2 linked regions of the Tamandua tetradactyla genome follow. The protein of the gene in region 2 purifies or fractionates together with the protein of the main gene of each other region. This does not show direct contact. Links are inferred from orthologs where the notes say so. Each region holds a gene or a part of one and is shown on either strand. Other genes may lie near its edges.

Region 1 (7,747 bases), on a different chromosome or scaffold from region 2:
CCCAGGACTTCCTCTCTTATGATTTTGTGAATCTTTTTAGAAAGCAGATGGAAAAAGTCTAATGCTGTAGAAAGAGTCCACACTTTCTGGGGCTGTGGTGCAAGTCTGACACTATGTGGCCTCTTTGGTAAGGAGTGATGTGATGATAGTATATTAATAATAATATCAGCTAACATTTGTGTAGCACTTACTATGTACCTGGCATTGTTCCAAGTGCTGTACTTATGTGCAAGCATGCACAAACACGCACTTATTTAATACTTAAAATATTGCCAACATTTTACAAATGAGGAAATTAAAATTCTTTGGAGATGAAATAATTTGTCATACAGTTAACAAGCAGCAAAGCTAGATCTGAAGTCAGGCAGGCTGGACTCAAGTAGATTGAAATGCTAGTGATCAATGAAAGGGAGTGGTAAGGGGTATGGTATGTATGAACTTTTTTGTTTTCTTTTTATTTCTTTTTCCGAATTGATGCAAATGTCCAAGAAATGATCATGATGATGAATATACAACTATGTGATGATATTGTGAGTAAGAATGGAATGATCATATGGTAAGAATGTTTGTGTTTGTATGTTGGTATGCTTAATAAATAAAAATAAATAAATAAATAAAGTGACACACTGGGAAATGAATTAAGACTTCAGGAGTACAATTTAAATTCTCTCTCTGGGGCTCAGTCTCTACAATTAAAACATGGGAACCATACCCATACCACTTACCTTACAAGGAGACTGAAATAGAATAACATGTAACAGGGCTTTGAAAAAGCACAGAGCATTGGGTGGGCCATGATGGCTCAGCAGGCAGAGTTCTCGCCTGCCAGGAGGGAGACCTGGGTTCAATTCCCCGTGCCTGCCCATGCAAAAAAATTGCACAGAGCATTGATTCCACCTTCCCTACTACCAATTTTCCTACATCAATGAAGACCCAAATTCAAAGCAAAAGAACAAAATCCATTCCTCTGACCAGGAACTCCTCAGCTGGAATTCAAGACATGTGGGTTCTGTTTCTAATTAGCTGCATGACCATGAACAAAATATTCCTTTTGCAGGCTCTCCACAGGAATGGAGAGAGCACGTTTATCCTCTAGAGGCTCCAAATACCCTATAAACACCTCACACATCATTAGAAGCCAAGGGCCATCCATGCAATGTCTTACCAGTCCTTCTGTGACACATTCTGGTTGTAAATGTGCCCACTGATGTTTCTATAAGGTGGACAGATGCATTTGCACCGGATATCTTCAGAGCTCTAGAAGAGAAAACTCAGATTAGGTAGGCAGGACCCCTGGGTTCTGTTCTAGCAAGATTCCCAACTTTTGGCTCCTTGTTCTGTAAGGCGACCATGCTTGTATAACTTGATCTTTCTATATTCCCAAGTTCAGCAAGAAATGACTTCTGTTAGAAAGGATGCTCTATCACAGGGCCCTCAAGACAGAAACTGTCCAGTGGCAAATGGGATACACAGAAAGCTGTCCAGTATTACCATTCCTCAAGTGGGTGCGTGACGAGGGGAGAGGGTGGGAGAAGGGTGAAGCAGGAGGCACAACACGCAAACTGACAGCCTGGGTCCCACATCTGTAAGTACATCTCTGTCCAGCAGGCTCGAACACTAGACCCCCTCCCCCCAATGCATTCCATCTACAACTTCCTAGGTTAGAACTGGGGGAAGGAAAAGAGCAGGGGTAAGTGAGAGAAAGTGTATCATTTTCAAGAGAATATTCAAGCAACTCCTTTGAAAGTTCTTCCCCTCTGGAAAGGGTAAGAGAGATAGCACCACAGTATTCTAATAAGGAACATCCCCTGGGGAAGGTAAAAGCAAGTCAATCCTGAGAGTCACCCTTCTTCAAAGACTTGTGATCTTCAGAATCTCAAATTCCATGGACCCACCCAAACCCAACTCCAGCTCTCTTACCCCTAAAGAATTAACTCAGGGAGCTCAGCACTCAGACTGGTCACACTTACTAATAGAAAATTCCATCTGTATAGCCTATATACTTTCTTGTACATCAAAATGTAGCATTTTTACTTCATTATGTAATTTGATTCTTCCTAAGTAGAGCAGTAGATACTATAACCACCTTCATTGTACATAGGAGCAAAGAAGAACTGAAATAACTCCCCCAAACCCAAACTTCCTAGCTGGAATTCCACCTTGGGCCTGTCTCATGTGCACCATCCCTGCCACAAGTTTCTTTACCACACCTGCTAACCTTAGGGAAGTCTGCAGCCTTGCACCTGAGGGAACAGGGCGAAAAGCACGGCCCCAGAGGTGAATGAGAGGCAGGGCTTGAGAAACGGCTACCTGTGGGGTGGCCCCGCCAGCAGGGCGGTCGTGTTCTAGGAACTACCGGCTCACCTCCCTCACCTTGCTGGCTTGAGCTGAAGGAAACAGCAAACACCCGACCACCGCCGCCAAGGACAGGAGCTTCATGCTTATTCAGGCTCGCTATGACAGCAATACTGGTCACCTGGAAAGGAGATACGGAGTCGGGGAAGAGGTGGGCGTCCCACCACAGACCACCACACTAGGCCCCTAACCCTCTTGCCTGGACTTGGGAATAGGGGTGGGGACTGGGATCCGGGATTCCAGGGCCTCCAGAGACCCTTAGCCAAGTGCCGCCTTTCCCAAGTCTCCCGCTCTCCACTGCCCACCTGATGCGCCCTGTGGACGGGGTCTCACGGGGACAGGGCCGTCCGGGGCCTGAGCGCCTCCGCAAGGCCCACCTCTGACCCTCGCAGCGCGCCCCACAGCCCTCCGCCATCTCCACCCGCCCCGCAGCTCCTCCCCGCTCAGGGCCGACGGGAACTTTGGATGCAAAGCCTGGGAGCCCTCATCCCAGGGGTCTTGGGCCAGGCTGGACCCCTGAAATCCCGCAAGCCCCCGCACCTCTTCCCCAAACTGGGGTCCGTGAACCTCCGAGTCCAGCTCCAGCAACAGAGGATCCAGCTGGCCCCGCCCCCCTCCGGCTTCTATTGGCTGCTAGAGCAGCCTCTCGACCCCGCTATCGCCAAGGCGATAAGACCCACCCTCGCTGGGCGGGGAGGCTCGCGCAAGGGAGAGCGAGCAATTTCTCAAACCCGAGCAAACAAGAAAAGGGAACGTCAAACTTCCCAAGTGGAAACTGGGAAGGGTCTTGCATATATGACCTGCAAAATCCCTCTGCGGTGCTTCGCCCCTTCTTAAATTGTGAGGATCGAGTTTCAGAGAGAGGCTAAGCCTGCTCCGTCTGGCTGTGTTAAAGAGAAAGCACTTTATAAACCGTGAAATAGTATCAGCAACAGTAATGATAAAAACAGACACAAGGGCTCCGTCCTTATTCACAATCTGGAATTGTTATTCATAGACACACAAATACATACGCCTGAGGTGGAAGAAGAAAGCAGGAGTGGCTTGTTGGGTCCCATTAGCCTGATCCACCTGTTCCAAGCTGGTTCTGGGCCAGGCAAATTGGGGGAAGATATCCCAGGCTGCTGGGAGGCAGATGTGAACTTCCCGCCGACTGTGGAGGAAAGAGCACCTGGGTTTTGCCTGGCTCTGCCACTAAACAGCTGCTTTACCCTGGAAAAGACACCTCCCTTCTCTGGGCCTCTGTTTCCTTCCATGTAAAACAAGTTGACTGGACTAAGATTCCCTTTCAGCTTTGATATTCTGGGATTCCTGGGGGGTGGTTTAATTGGATCCAAATTTGAATTTGGGGGCCAGAAGCAGCACACAGGTCAGGTCCAGGTGGAATGCAGCCCCATCCAGATGTGCTGTAGTAGGTACTGCCTCTGAAGGTAGTGGAATTTGTATCTTATTCACCTTTATATCCTCTTCACTTGGCAGAGTCCCCTAAACTTGGTGGTTGCTCAGGAAATGTTTGCTGAACTGAACAGGGTAGAATTAAATTAAAACGAGGGTGATAGAGAGAGGGCAGGAGGACTAAGGAGTGACACAAAGCTCATGGGTTTTGGAACTAGAAGGATCAGGGTGAAGTCCAGGTTCCTCCCTTCCTGGTTGTGCGAATTTGGATGGTTGGGACTCAATTTCCACATCCATAAAATGGGGCGATATTACTTGGCTTACAGGTTGCTGTAACACCATGTTATTTGCAAGCTGCCAGAATGCAATACATCCAAAATGGAATGGCTTTCAAAAAGGGAATTCAATAAGTTGCAAATTTACAGTTCTAAGCCTACAAAAATGTCCAAACTAAGCCACCCAGGAAAGATACCTTAATTTAAGGAAGGCTAATGGGTCAGGAACACCTCTGTCAGCTGGGAAGTCGTATGGTTGGCATCTGCTGGTCCCTTGCACCTGTGCTCCATTGCTTTCAGCCTCTGTTCCTATGGGAGATCCTCACTTTACTTCTTCAGGGCTGGCTTTCATCTCTTGGCTTCCCTTGGCTTGCTCCAGGTTCTAGCTTGCTTGACATGTAATAGTGCCATCTGCTGGGCCCCAAGCATCTCCAAACATCTGTGTCTCTGTTCTCCAAGTATTGGCATCTGTGTCAGCTCTGGGCTTGAAGTTTCTGTCAGCTTTACTCTCTGTCGGCTCTCTCCAAAGTGTTTCCTCTTTCAAAAGATTCCAGTAAACTAATAAGACCCACCTGAAATGGGTGGATCACATCTCCATCTAGTCAAAAGGTTACACCCACAATTAGGTGGACCACATCTCTGTGGAGATACTCTAATCAAAAGTTTCTGCCCTATAGTATTGAATCAGGATTGAATCAGAATTGCTCCCACAAGATTGAGTCAGGATTAAAGCATGGCTTTTGTGGGGGCACATAATAGATTCAAACCAGCACACATATATGTGTCTGGATAAAGAGGGGGGCCCCATAAATGCAAAAGTCAGCTCATTCTAGAGGTCAGAATGACTGTTGGGGTGTTGAGAAATGATGCCTACAACATGGGAGCAGAAGTGACAGCTCATGCACCGGAAAACACCCTCCTGCCTTCCCATACACCTCCTCTGTAGAGGTGGGGGAACTTCCAAGGATGTGACTGGGTAATTACCTCCAATGGGTGGGCCTCTGACACCCAACACTAAATATACCCTTTAAAGATAAGGCCACCCAGGGTCCTCATGGCACTATCATCTAACATTTCTCAGATTGTGGCGTCAGATTATCTTTGATTGTTCTTTTCTCCTATCCCAACATCTAGTCTATCTGGATGTCTCCAAGAGGCAGCCATTGTCATGCTGCCTTCATCCTTCCAGAGCTCGCTCTCTGCTTCCTAAAATATACTCCCTTCCTATGTCCTCCTCCATCCTTCCTGTCTTCCTCCAAGCCTGTTTTCAGCACCTCTTCTGTCATTCAGTAGTCCATTTTAGCATCCTGTCATGTCAAATCCAGACCTCTCTGCCTGGCTGCATGATAACCCTCCCCACCCCATCTCATCTCTGGTTACTCTCTTCCAGCTGCCTCCCACATTTGACTTTGCACATACTAGCCCTCTATGGAAGGCCATCACTCCCTCAGCCCTGTTAATCCTTACCTTTCATCTCTTTCAAGCTTCTGCCCCAATCACTTCTATTCCAGAACCTTCCCAGGTAGTCCTACTTGACCCATGTACTTTGTTCCCACGTGTTCCCCACATGCCCTGTGTTTGAGAAGCCATTGAGATATGTCTGAATCTATTCATCCAAATCAACTCCAAAAACATGTGCCAAATGCTGTCTATGAGCCATACACCATGCTAGGTGACCCCAGGACTACAACAGACAAGCCACATGTGAACCCTGTTTTCAAGAAGTGCGTAGTCTACTACAGGAGAAATGATATGGTTGTAATATAATTTAATGTAAAAAGTGTTATGTCATAGAACGGTTCTTTTGTCCCCAAAATGTTTTTCAAGTAAACAAGATACAGCCTGTCTCTGCTCTCATGATACTTAAGGTTTATTTCAGGAAAATGACAAATCAATAAGCAATTACAGTTCAGGATTATAAGAACTGTATGAACTATGCCTGGAGAAGACCAGGGAGCTGTGGACACACCCTGCAAAAGCCTATGGGAGACGGAGACCAAGAGCTAGAAGAGTCTGAAATGGTAGAAAGGGAATTTTAGGGAATAGTTGGGGGCTATTTGAGATGGGCCAGTGTGGTAGGCAAAATAATGGCTCCCCAAAGATATCTGCTTCTTACTCCCCAGAACCTGTGAATATGTTGCCTTGCATGGGGTACTTTGCAGATGTGATTATGTTAACCTTGGGATGGAGAGATTATTCTGATTTATCTGGGTGGGTGCGGTTTGGGCCAACCGCTAAACTATCGGGGACCCTCTACTCCTCAGCTTCTCACTGCTTGCCAGACGACACTGCCGCACGCAGAAAAGGGGCTCGAGCCGGGGGTCTGGGTCCAAGGGGCGCGTGCAGGAGACCTCGCTGCGGGTCTAAAGGACTGGAGGCCGAGTCATTTAAGGCATGAAGCGAGGTAGCTTTATTGTTGGTAGATGCTTATGCCAGGGCCGCCAGAAGCTAAAGACCACGAGGCTTGACGAGCCCTGGATTATATACAGTTTGAGGAGAGGCGGAGTTAGGGCGTGGCCTCCAGGGGAGGGTAGCCAATCACACAGGGAGGACGGATGAGTGACTGTGACCATAGAGATGCTGTTCCTGAGTGTACTTGTAGCAGTGGATGTTGGGTAGGTGGAGGACTAAGGAGAAGACCAATAGGGTTAGAGAGACAAGGCTGCATCATCACTAGTCGCCGGCGAGGCCTGTAATTCAGAGGTCTAGAAGAACTGGACGTGCCAAAATGGCGAGGGAGGGAGAGAAAGAGACTAAGCCACCAGGCCAAGAATAAAATTATGCCACAGGTGGGCCCAATGTAACCTCACCAGTCCTTAAAAATGGAGAATCTTTTCTGGCTATAGTCAGATTCAATGACAGAAGCAGGGTTAGAGAGATGCTATGTTGCTAGCTTTGACAATGGAGAAAGGAGGCCATGAGCCTTAAGCAGTTACCCCCTGTATTAGTCTATTAAGCGGCTGGAATGCAGTACACCAGAAATAGAACAGCTTTTAAAAAGGGAATTTAATAAGTTACCAGTTTACAGTTCTAGTGAAGTGGAAGTGTCCAAATTAAGCCACCAACAAGAGGTTACCTTCACTCAAGAAAGGCTGATGCTATCCAGAACACCTCTGTCAGATGAATAAGCATGAATAATCCATGCTGTGCTAGTTTGAAACTGTTATGTACCCCCAGAAAAGCCATGTTCTTTATATGCACTCTTGTGGGGGCACACCTATTGTGGGTGGTTTGTTTCCATGGAGATGTGACCCTGCCCATTCAAGGTGGGTCTTAATCTACTTACTGTAGCTTTTTAAGAAAGAGACATTTCTTAGAAAGCACAGATGTTTGGAGGCAGAAAATGCCCCAGGACATGCTAAGCTAAAAGATGAAATCTAGCGTCTGCCCCAAAGAACCTAAGAGAGAACCCTGGAATCAGAAACTGAAAGCAATAAACCAGGAGCAAGGACGAGCAGGTGCCAGCCATGCCTTCCCAACTGACAAAGTGTTCTACATGCCAATGGCCTTTCTTCTGAGTCCAGGTATCATCTTGTTGATAACTCAAGTCAGATATTTTCATGGCCTAAGAACTATAAATTTGCAACCTAATAAATCCCCTTTGTAAAAGTCAATCCATTTATGGTATATTGTATTCTGGCAGCTTTAGCAAACCAAAACACACGGGTAAAAGAGAAACTATAAAAAGAAAGCAAAAAATACATTTAATGCAGTAATAATGA
Region 2 (7,261 bases):
TTCCTTCTCAGTATTGTTTTTGCTGTATCCCTAAAGGTTTTGTATGTTGTGTTTTCCTTTTGATTCACCTCAAGATATGTCATTTCCCTTGTGATTTTTTTCTTTTACTAATTGGTTAAGAGTGCATTATTTAATTTCCACACATTTTTGAATTTTCCAGCTTTCCCTCTGTTAATCGATTTCTTGCTTCATTCCATTGTGATCAGTGTAGCTACATTGCATGTTTTCAAAATCTTTGAATTTATGAAGACTTGCTTTGTGACTGAACATATGGTCTATCCTGGAGAATGATCCTTGTGTACTAAAGAAGAATATATATTCTGCTCCTGTTCTGTGAAGTGTTCTATATATGTCTGTTAGGTCTATTTGGTTATTACTGTTCAGGTCTTCAATGTCCTTACTGGTGTTCTGTCTAAATGTTCTATCCATTATTGAAAGTGGTGTATTGAAGTCTCATACTATTAATGTAGAACCACTTATCACTCCCTGCAAAACAGTCAATATTTGCTTCATATATTTTGTTCTCTGTTGTTAGGTGCATATAATTGCCTGGTATGTAGGTTCCACTCTATCAGGTGGCAGCTTCAAAGACTAAACCAGAAAACTCCTCTCTGGTCTACTCTCCCAGAACTTGTCTTGCAGGCAGAAGCAGTGTGTTTGCAGACACCTAAAGCAGTGTAAGAAACAATTAAGTCAAAGTGACCTGGGCAAAGGATTACTTACTTTAAGTTATGCAATATGGAGGGTGAGAAAGGCTATTTCATAGGGAGTAGAGGGGGAATTCTAATTCCTATAAAAGGGGGCATTCCTGAGGTCATGAGCAAGCACAAGTCCAGGACAAGATGCAGGCTCAGAAACCACGGAGAGGACTCTGCAGTTCACATTTGCCTCGGATTGATCTTCTTGATAGGAGGGCTAAACTCAGCAGGAAAGCATTGGCCAGCGGGGAGCCAATTTGCAAAGACTGTGAAAGGTATTTTTGATGTCTTCAAAGTTCATCCATGTAGTGGTACACATCAGAACTTCATACCTCTTTATGGCTGAGTACTACTCCATTGTGCTTACATTCCACATTTTGTTACTCCATCCATGTGTTGATAGATACTTCAGTTGCTTCCACCTTTTGCTATTGTGAATCATGCATTATGAACAGGGTGTATTAATATCTGTTTGTCTGCTTTCAATTCTTTGGGGTGTATACCTAGATGTGGGATTGCCAGGTCATGTTATTTAATTCTATGTTCAACTTTCTGAGGAACAACCAAACTATTTTCCAAACAGCTGCACCATTTTACATTTCCAGCAACAATGTACAAGAGTTCTTATTTCCTCACATACTTGCCAACACATTCAATTTTCTGTTTTTTTTTTTAAGTAATAATCATTCTGGTGGATGTAAGGTGGTAGCTCATATTTTTAAAAAATGTTTTTATTGTAGTAGCATATATACAACTCAAAATTTCCCTCTTTAACCACTTTCAAGTATATAACTCAGTAGATTAATTTCATTCACAATATTGTGCTACCATCACCAGTATTCATTGCCCTAACTTTTTCATCACTTCAAACAGAAACTCTGCATCCATTAAGCAATAAATCTTGCCCCCACTCCCTGACACCTAGTTACCTGCAATTTACTATTTAATTCTATGAACTTTGCTTCTTTTAGGTATTTCATAAAAGTAGGATCATACAATATTTGTCCTTTTGTGTCTGGCTTATTTCACTCAGTGTGACGTCTTCAAGGTTCATCCATGTTGTAGCATGCATCAGAAATTCATTCCTTTTTAATGCTGAATAATATTCATTGTGTGTATACATCCACTTTATTCATCCATTCATCTGTTGACAGGCACTTCAATTGCTTCTACCTTTTGACTATTGTGAATAATGCTGCTGTGACATTATTGTCCAAATATTTGTTCAAATCCCTGCTTTCAGTTCTTTTGGGTATATACCAAGAAGTGGGATTGCCAGGTAATATGGTAAATTCTATTTTCAACTCTCTGAGGAACCACCAAACTGATTCTCACAGTGGCTGCACCATTTTACAATGTCACCAACAATGTATAAGGGTTTTTATTTCTTCACATCCTTGTCAACACTTGTTATTTTCTTTTTTTAAAATAATAACCATCTAGTGGATGTGAAATGGTATTTCATTATGTCTTTTATTTACATTTCCCTAATGACCAATGATGTTGAACATCTTTTCATGTGCTTATTAGCCATTTATATATTTTCTTCAGAGAAATGTCTATTGAAATCCTTTGCTTATTTTTAATTGGGTTGTTTCACTTTTTGTTAAATTGACCCTGTCTCCTTTCTGGTTATTTGTGGCTACCCTTCCACCTCCATCCTATATACACATTATGAGTGCCTGAGAGAAGGGACAAGATTCTACCAGTTGAGAAGGTAAAAATTAGCTTGGAATGAGAATGTAAAATTCGCTTGGCCATTCATCAGGGTAGAATACCAGGCAGATAAAGCCAGCTGCACATTTAACAGGGAACAATATTTCTCCCAAAGACATGCTGCAGCTGTAAAATCATAACTCCTTTATTTGAGTGACTCCTGCTTTTTTAATCACTGAAAAACTTTGCTCTCTAACATTGTAGATTATCAGCAACTGTGCTGTTTGAAATTATATCAGTCAGCATAAAACATCCCATGCTGGTCTGGAGAACATAAGTCTCTTTGACATAGAAAAGCAGCCTCGGTCTCCAACCTAGGTGTAGAGCTTCAGATAGGGCTATCTGGACACAACATTCCACATCTATCTTTACTTCTTGGTTCCCAAGGAAACAGGATTCTGAGTTCACTTCACAGTCCAGACCGGATGTTGACCCCTTTAAACACAGGCCTGCTTTGCTTTTACTAAAACACTGCTTCATTTAAAATTCACCTAAACTCCATTCTTTCACCAAATCTATCTTTTTCTTTTTTGGCAACGCTCCCATGCTTTCTTTGGTGTACTGTCTCCATCACTGCAATGAATCAGGAAGCCCGATTTTGATTGTATTCTATGCTCTTGAGTTACAAGGTTGCTGAGCAGTGGCCCTTTCCAACTTCTTTACCAGTCTGATACTGAGGACACTAATTACCTAGGGACATAATTTTGCGGTACTTTCTGTACAGTTTTTTCCCTTAAAATCTAAGAACTAAAAAGTGTCTGTCAATTATGATGATAATTATATATCTACGTGAATAAATAGAAATCCTGGAAAAAGAAAAAAGAAGCCTGACTTTGCAGGACTACAAGATTTATTCCTGCAGGCCTTAAATTGATAGGGCTTAGGATAAATATTTTTTATTCCTTTGCACTTACCACGTGCAAAGTAGGTACTCAAAAATGTTTGCTGCAATAGACTCTTAAACTAGAATACTTGGGCTCTAGTTAGATTACCTGAATTGATTATATGTATTCCAGTTTCACTCCTGCCAATAACTAATAAACTGATTCATTTTAAGCAAGTCAATGCACTCCGTTTGGCGTGAACTGTTTCTTCTGTAAAATTAGGTGCTGTTTTTCTGTGCCTAGGGCAAGGGCTTTGGAGTTAGATATAGGTTGGAGTTCCCGTTCACCCATTTACTAGTCCGACGACCCTTCCCTTTGCGGAGCCTGTTTTGTAATTATTAAAACGGATCTAGTACTGATAACTGCAGTACGTACCCTGCAGTTTTGCTGTTTGAGGATCAAATTGGCTATTAACAAGCATTACTCTATTTTATCACTATTCCTGTTGCTACTATTATGTTATTTCAGACCAGTTACTTAACCTTTCTATGCCTCTACTTTCTTATGAATAAAAATGGAGAAATAATGGTACGTACCCCATGGGGTTATTGTAAACATAAAAAAATTAAGGGCTTAAAGCAGTGCCTAGCACATGAAGCTCAAAATATACGACTTAATGTTGTTAGTACTATATTTCTACTACTAACTACTCTGTGGGCGAGCAGCTCATGATAAACAGCTTTATTTTTAATAACAAAACCAAAGAAGGCACTGCAGGCTCCAAACAGCGAAACGGGATACAGCATTTCTTTTTCAAACACAATTGACACGCCCACCACTGGGTTAGAGTCGCCAAATCCACATTAAATATGGCAGCGAACAGGGCCGACTACTGCGGTTGCGCACGCAGAAACCCCTCCCAGCTGCTCTCTCCGTCCGGCCTCCTCCTCCCCCGCATCCACCCCCGCCCCCCAACTTGGCGGAGGTGCTGGGTGATGGCTGGCTGTGTCGCGCACGCGCAGACGGCGGCCGTGCTCAGCCGAGACTTGTGAGGCGCCTGTCACATGAGCCGCGCGCCCTCTCCGCTCCCCCTCCTCCCTGGCTGGGTTCTGTGAATGAAGCTCTGCGGGCTACGTGGGGCGCTAGCTCAACTTGGTGTCCAGCACGCCCGAGCGGACTGAGCGCTCGGTCCGCCAGCGGCGGACACCAACCCAGTCGCTCCAGACCTCCGCGACAGGTAAAGACAGATGGGCTGTCCTTTCCCCAACAGGTTCTTCGCGGCGCCGCTGGCCCCCGGCCCATCCCCTTGGACACCCCCGGAGAGCAGCAACAGGGGAAGCGCTCCCCTGCTGGCTCGGCTCCTCCGAGACAGAGATCCCCGTGCCCGGCCGCCGCTGCCTGGCACTTGGAGGAGTTAGACAGGCTAGTTCTAGCCAGTGCGGGGCGGCATCTTCCCGGCAGCCCAACCCTGTCCTCCGAACTAGGGTCCCTGAGTTGCCTGCGCGAAGTTTCCTCGCGAGCGGCGCCAAGCACGCCCGGGTTTTGAATGTGAGAGGTTAGTCGCATGTGTTCCCTTTCCAGGACTGGGGCCGGGTGGCTTTTTCTGGAAGAGGGCGAGGCCCTGTTCTTCGCTCTCCTACTCTGGACTCGCAGGTCTGTGTGGGTTTTTAGCAAAATCACGTCCAAACTTAGGAAAAGTAGTTGCTGTGCGTTTTTCTTTTCCCAGTTGACGCGCGTTAGATGGATCTTCTCCAAACTTTTCGAGGTTTGCGCTTGAGCTCCTATACCCTTAAGGGAAAAGCTTTACCTTTACATTGACGCGCATGTATCTTTATTAATAGTTCAGAACAAATCGGTTTCCTGTAGTTCCAAGTGAAGTTGTGATGTGTGTGTGTGTGTGTGTGTGTGTGTATGTGTGCGCCTGTGTCATAACGTCACTGTAAGCTTCCCGGAGTAAGTGAGGGAAATCCAGATGTTCGGAGCATAAAAAGCCAGTAAGAATCCGCTTTACATAAACTTCATCAATTTATTAACAGCTACCCTGGTTTAACTGCAGAGATGTTAAATTTCGCCTTGTGCAACAAGTACAATCAGTACTTCTTAACTGCATGCAGAATAAGATTAAAAAAAAAAAAAAAAGGCAAACCAAACAAACTGTCCCAGATTGCAGATAAGTCATCCGAGTGCTTTTTCATGGCGAAATCATCCTGGGATTTAGATGAGTTCCTAGTTTTCCTGAACTTCTCGAAACTTTCCTTAACCAAAGCATTGTCCTTTGTCTATCAGTATTTTCGGGAGTATTGTACATTAAATCCTTTGTCCTTAAAAAACAAAAAGTCATGAAAGAAGGCCAAAATGATGATTCTCAAGTTAGTATTCGTCTTAAGTGTTTGTGCTTTAGCGCTGTCACTTCGGGGCCCGAGGTATTAGCTGTATAAAAATTACAGTAATAGCACCCCTACTTTAATGTTCACCAATTCTGAAAGGTGGAGACTTTTTTTTTTTTTAAAAAAAAGCAGATTAGTTTGTATGCTAAATAAGGAAGGCCAATTTATTAAGAACTTGCTTAAATGGACAAGCAAAGTGTTTAATATATTAAATGTCTCAATCACAGTAAAGTACAAACATCTCACTTTTTCTCCTATACTTTTCTCCTTTCATATTCTTGCAGAAAGTACTGTCCTAAGACTGGATTTGAAGTTTTAAAAATAGGAATTAGCTGACTTAATTTGCCTTTCTTAAATTGGTATTTCGTTTTTACATTTTTCTCTTTCTTTGGTTCATTTTCCCCCCGACTATAAAAGCAATATATGTTTACTATAGGAAGTTTGCCGAGTATGGGAAAGTGTAAAGAAGTAGGGAGAAGGAACCACTAGCTAAAAATCATCGCTCTTAATTCTTTATTCTGCTTCCTTTCATTTTTTTCCTATGCAAAATATATCTTAAAACTTGAAGTTCTCATAAAAATTTCTCCCTTTTCTACTGATTGTTTAATGTAAAGTTGGATCTTTTGCGGGTTGAATAGGGAAATGAATATTATACTAGTCTTCATTCCCCAAAGCATGAAACGTCAAGATAGGAAAGACACTTAATGGTTATCACCTCCAACCAGCCACACTTTGAGATCTGAAGATTCAGTGATTCATGTAGAATCTTACAGCACTGAGTGGCAAAATTAACTAACTCTTGGTCTCCTGATTCTGTCTTCAGCAATTCTTTGCTACTTAAGAGTAATGTAACACTGCCTATGTCTGCATCTTTGAAAGAGAGATTCAGAGAGGAACAGAAGAATTTTTCAAGACTTTAAAGTGTATATTTTCACTTAGGTATTCATTTTTCAGTTTTGGACTTTCAGGTTTGGGACATTAGCATCTTCCAGAAAGCAGCAACCACGAAGCTGGTTCCATCTACACCCCATTCAAGTCTCCCTGCAAAACTGGGGTGCTCTTGGAAACTCTGATCCTGCAACCCCAGTGTGGGAGAATATAGGATCAAGATGGCCATGTGGCAGGGTAAGAAAAATTAGCACTTGTATTCCTCTAACTGGTTTTTCCTCCTTCTCTATCCTCCACCCCTAACCTCCCCTTCCGCCCCCCCCCCAAGCCAGTGGCAGACAGCCAGCTGTTTCTTTAATTTAACTCTTTGTCTTGGCAAGGACAAAGCACATTAGTTTAAAAGAAGCTGTTGCTAGCTAGAAGTTCAAATTATTTTAAAGTGAGGGTGGAGGGGTGGGAGGAAAAGTAGCAGGAAAGTTTAGTGCAGAGCATTTTTTTAAAGAACTTTCTTCATTTAAGCATGTACTTTTGGGGTTATATGTGAGGAAATGGAAGATATTTTTTCGTATATATGCTTTTCATTTGTTTCTGGTAAATGTCTATCATAAGCATCTCAGAGGTGGGGGGGGCAATTTAGTACCTCCCCAGCTTTCTCTTCCCGATAAAGACTTTCATGGGGCTTAAGCATTGAAAAAGCACGTTTAATGTTGTAATGTTTATATTTGGTGAATGGGGGAAAATGACTATT

Evidence for each region. The genes of interacting proteins can lie anywhere in the genome.
Region 1: the proteins of CLCN5 (region 2) and TMEM9 purify together in Homo sapiens (co-immunoprecipitation; 3 studies listed by BioGRID and IntAct, with this or other methods). This does not show direct contact. The link is inferred for Tamandua tetradactyla from reciprocal best matches to the Homo sapiens genes CLCN5 and TMEM9.

What each region holds. Positions count from the first base shown.
Region 1 is NC_135330.1:58,231,671-58,239,417, forward strand, and holds the start of TMEM9 (proton-transporting V-type ATPase complex assembly regulator TMEM9), read right to left. Parts: upstream 3,005-7,747; 5' UTR 2,896-3,004; intron 2,477-2,895; 5' UTR 2,440-2,476; coding exon 2,365-2,439; intron 1,258-2,364; coding exon 1,166-1,257; intron 1-1,165. UniProt on the Homo sapiens protein: Transmembrane protein that binds to and facilitates the assembly of lysosomal proton-transporting V-type ATPase (v-ATPase), resulting in enhanced lysosomal acidification and trafficking.
Region 2 is NC_135353.1:120,412,320-120,419,580, reverse strand, and holds the start of CLCN5 (H(+)/Cl(-) exchange transporter 5), read left to right. Parts: upstream 1-4,234; 5' UTR 4,235-4,475; intron 4,476-6,593; 5' UTR 6,594-6,734; coding exon 6,735-6,750; intron 6,751-7,261. UniProt on the Homo sapiens protein: Proton-coupled chloride transporter. Functions as antiport system and exchanges chloride ions against protons. Important for normal acidification of the endosome lumen. May play an important role in renal tubular function.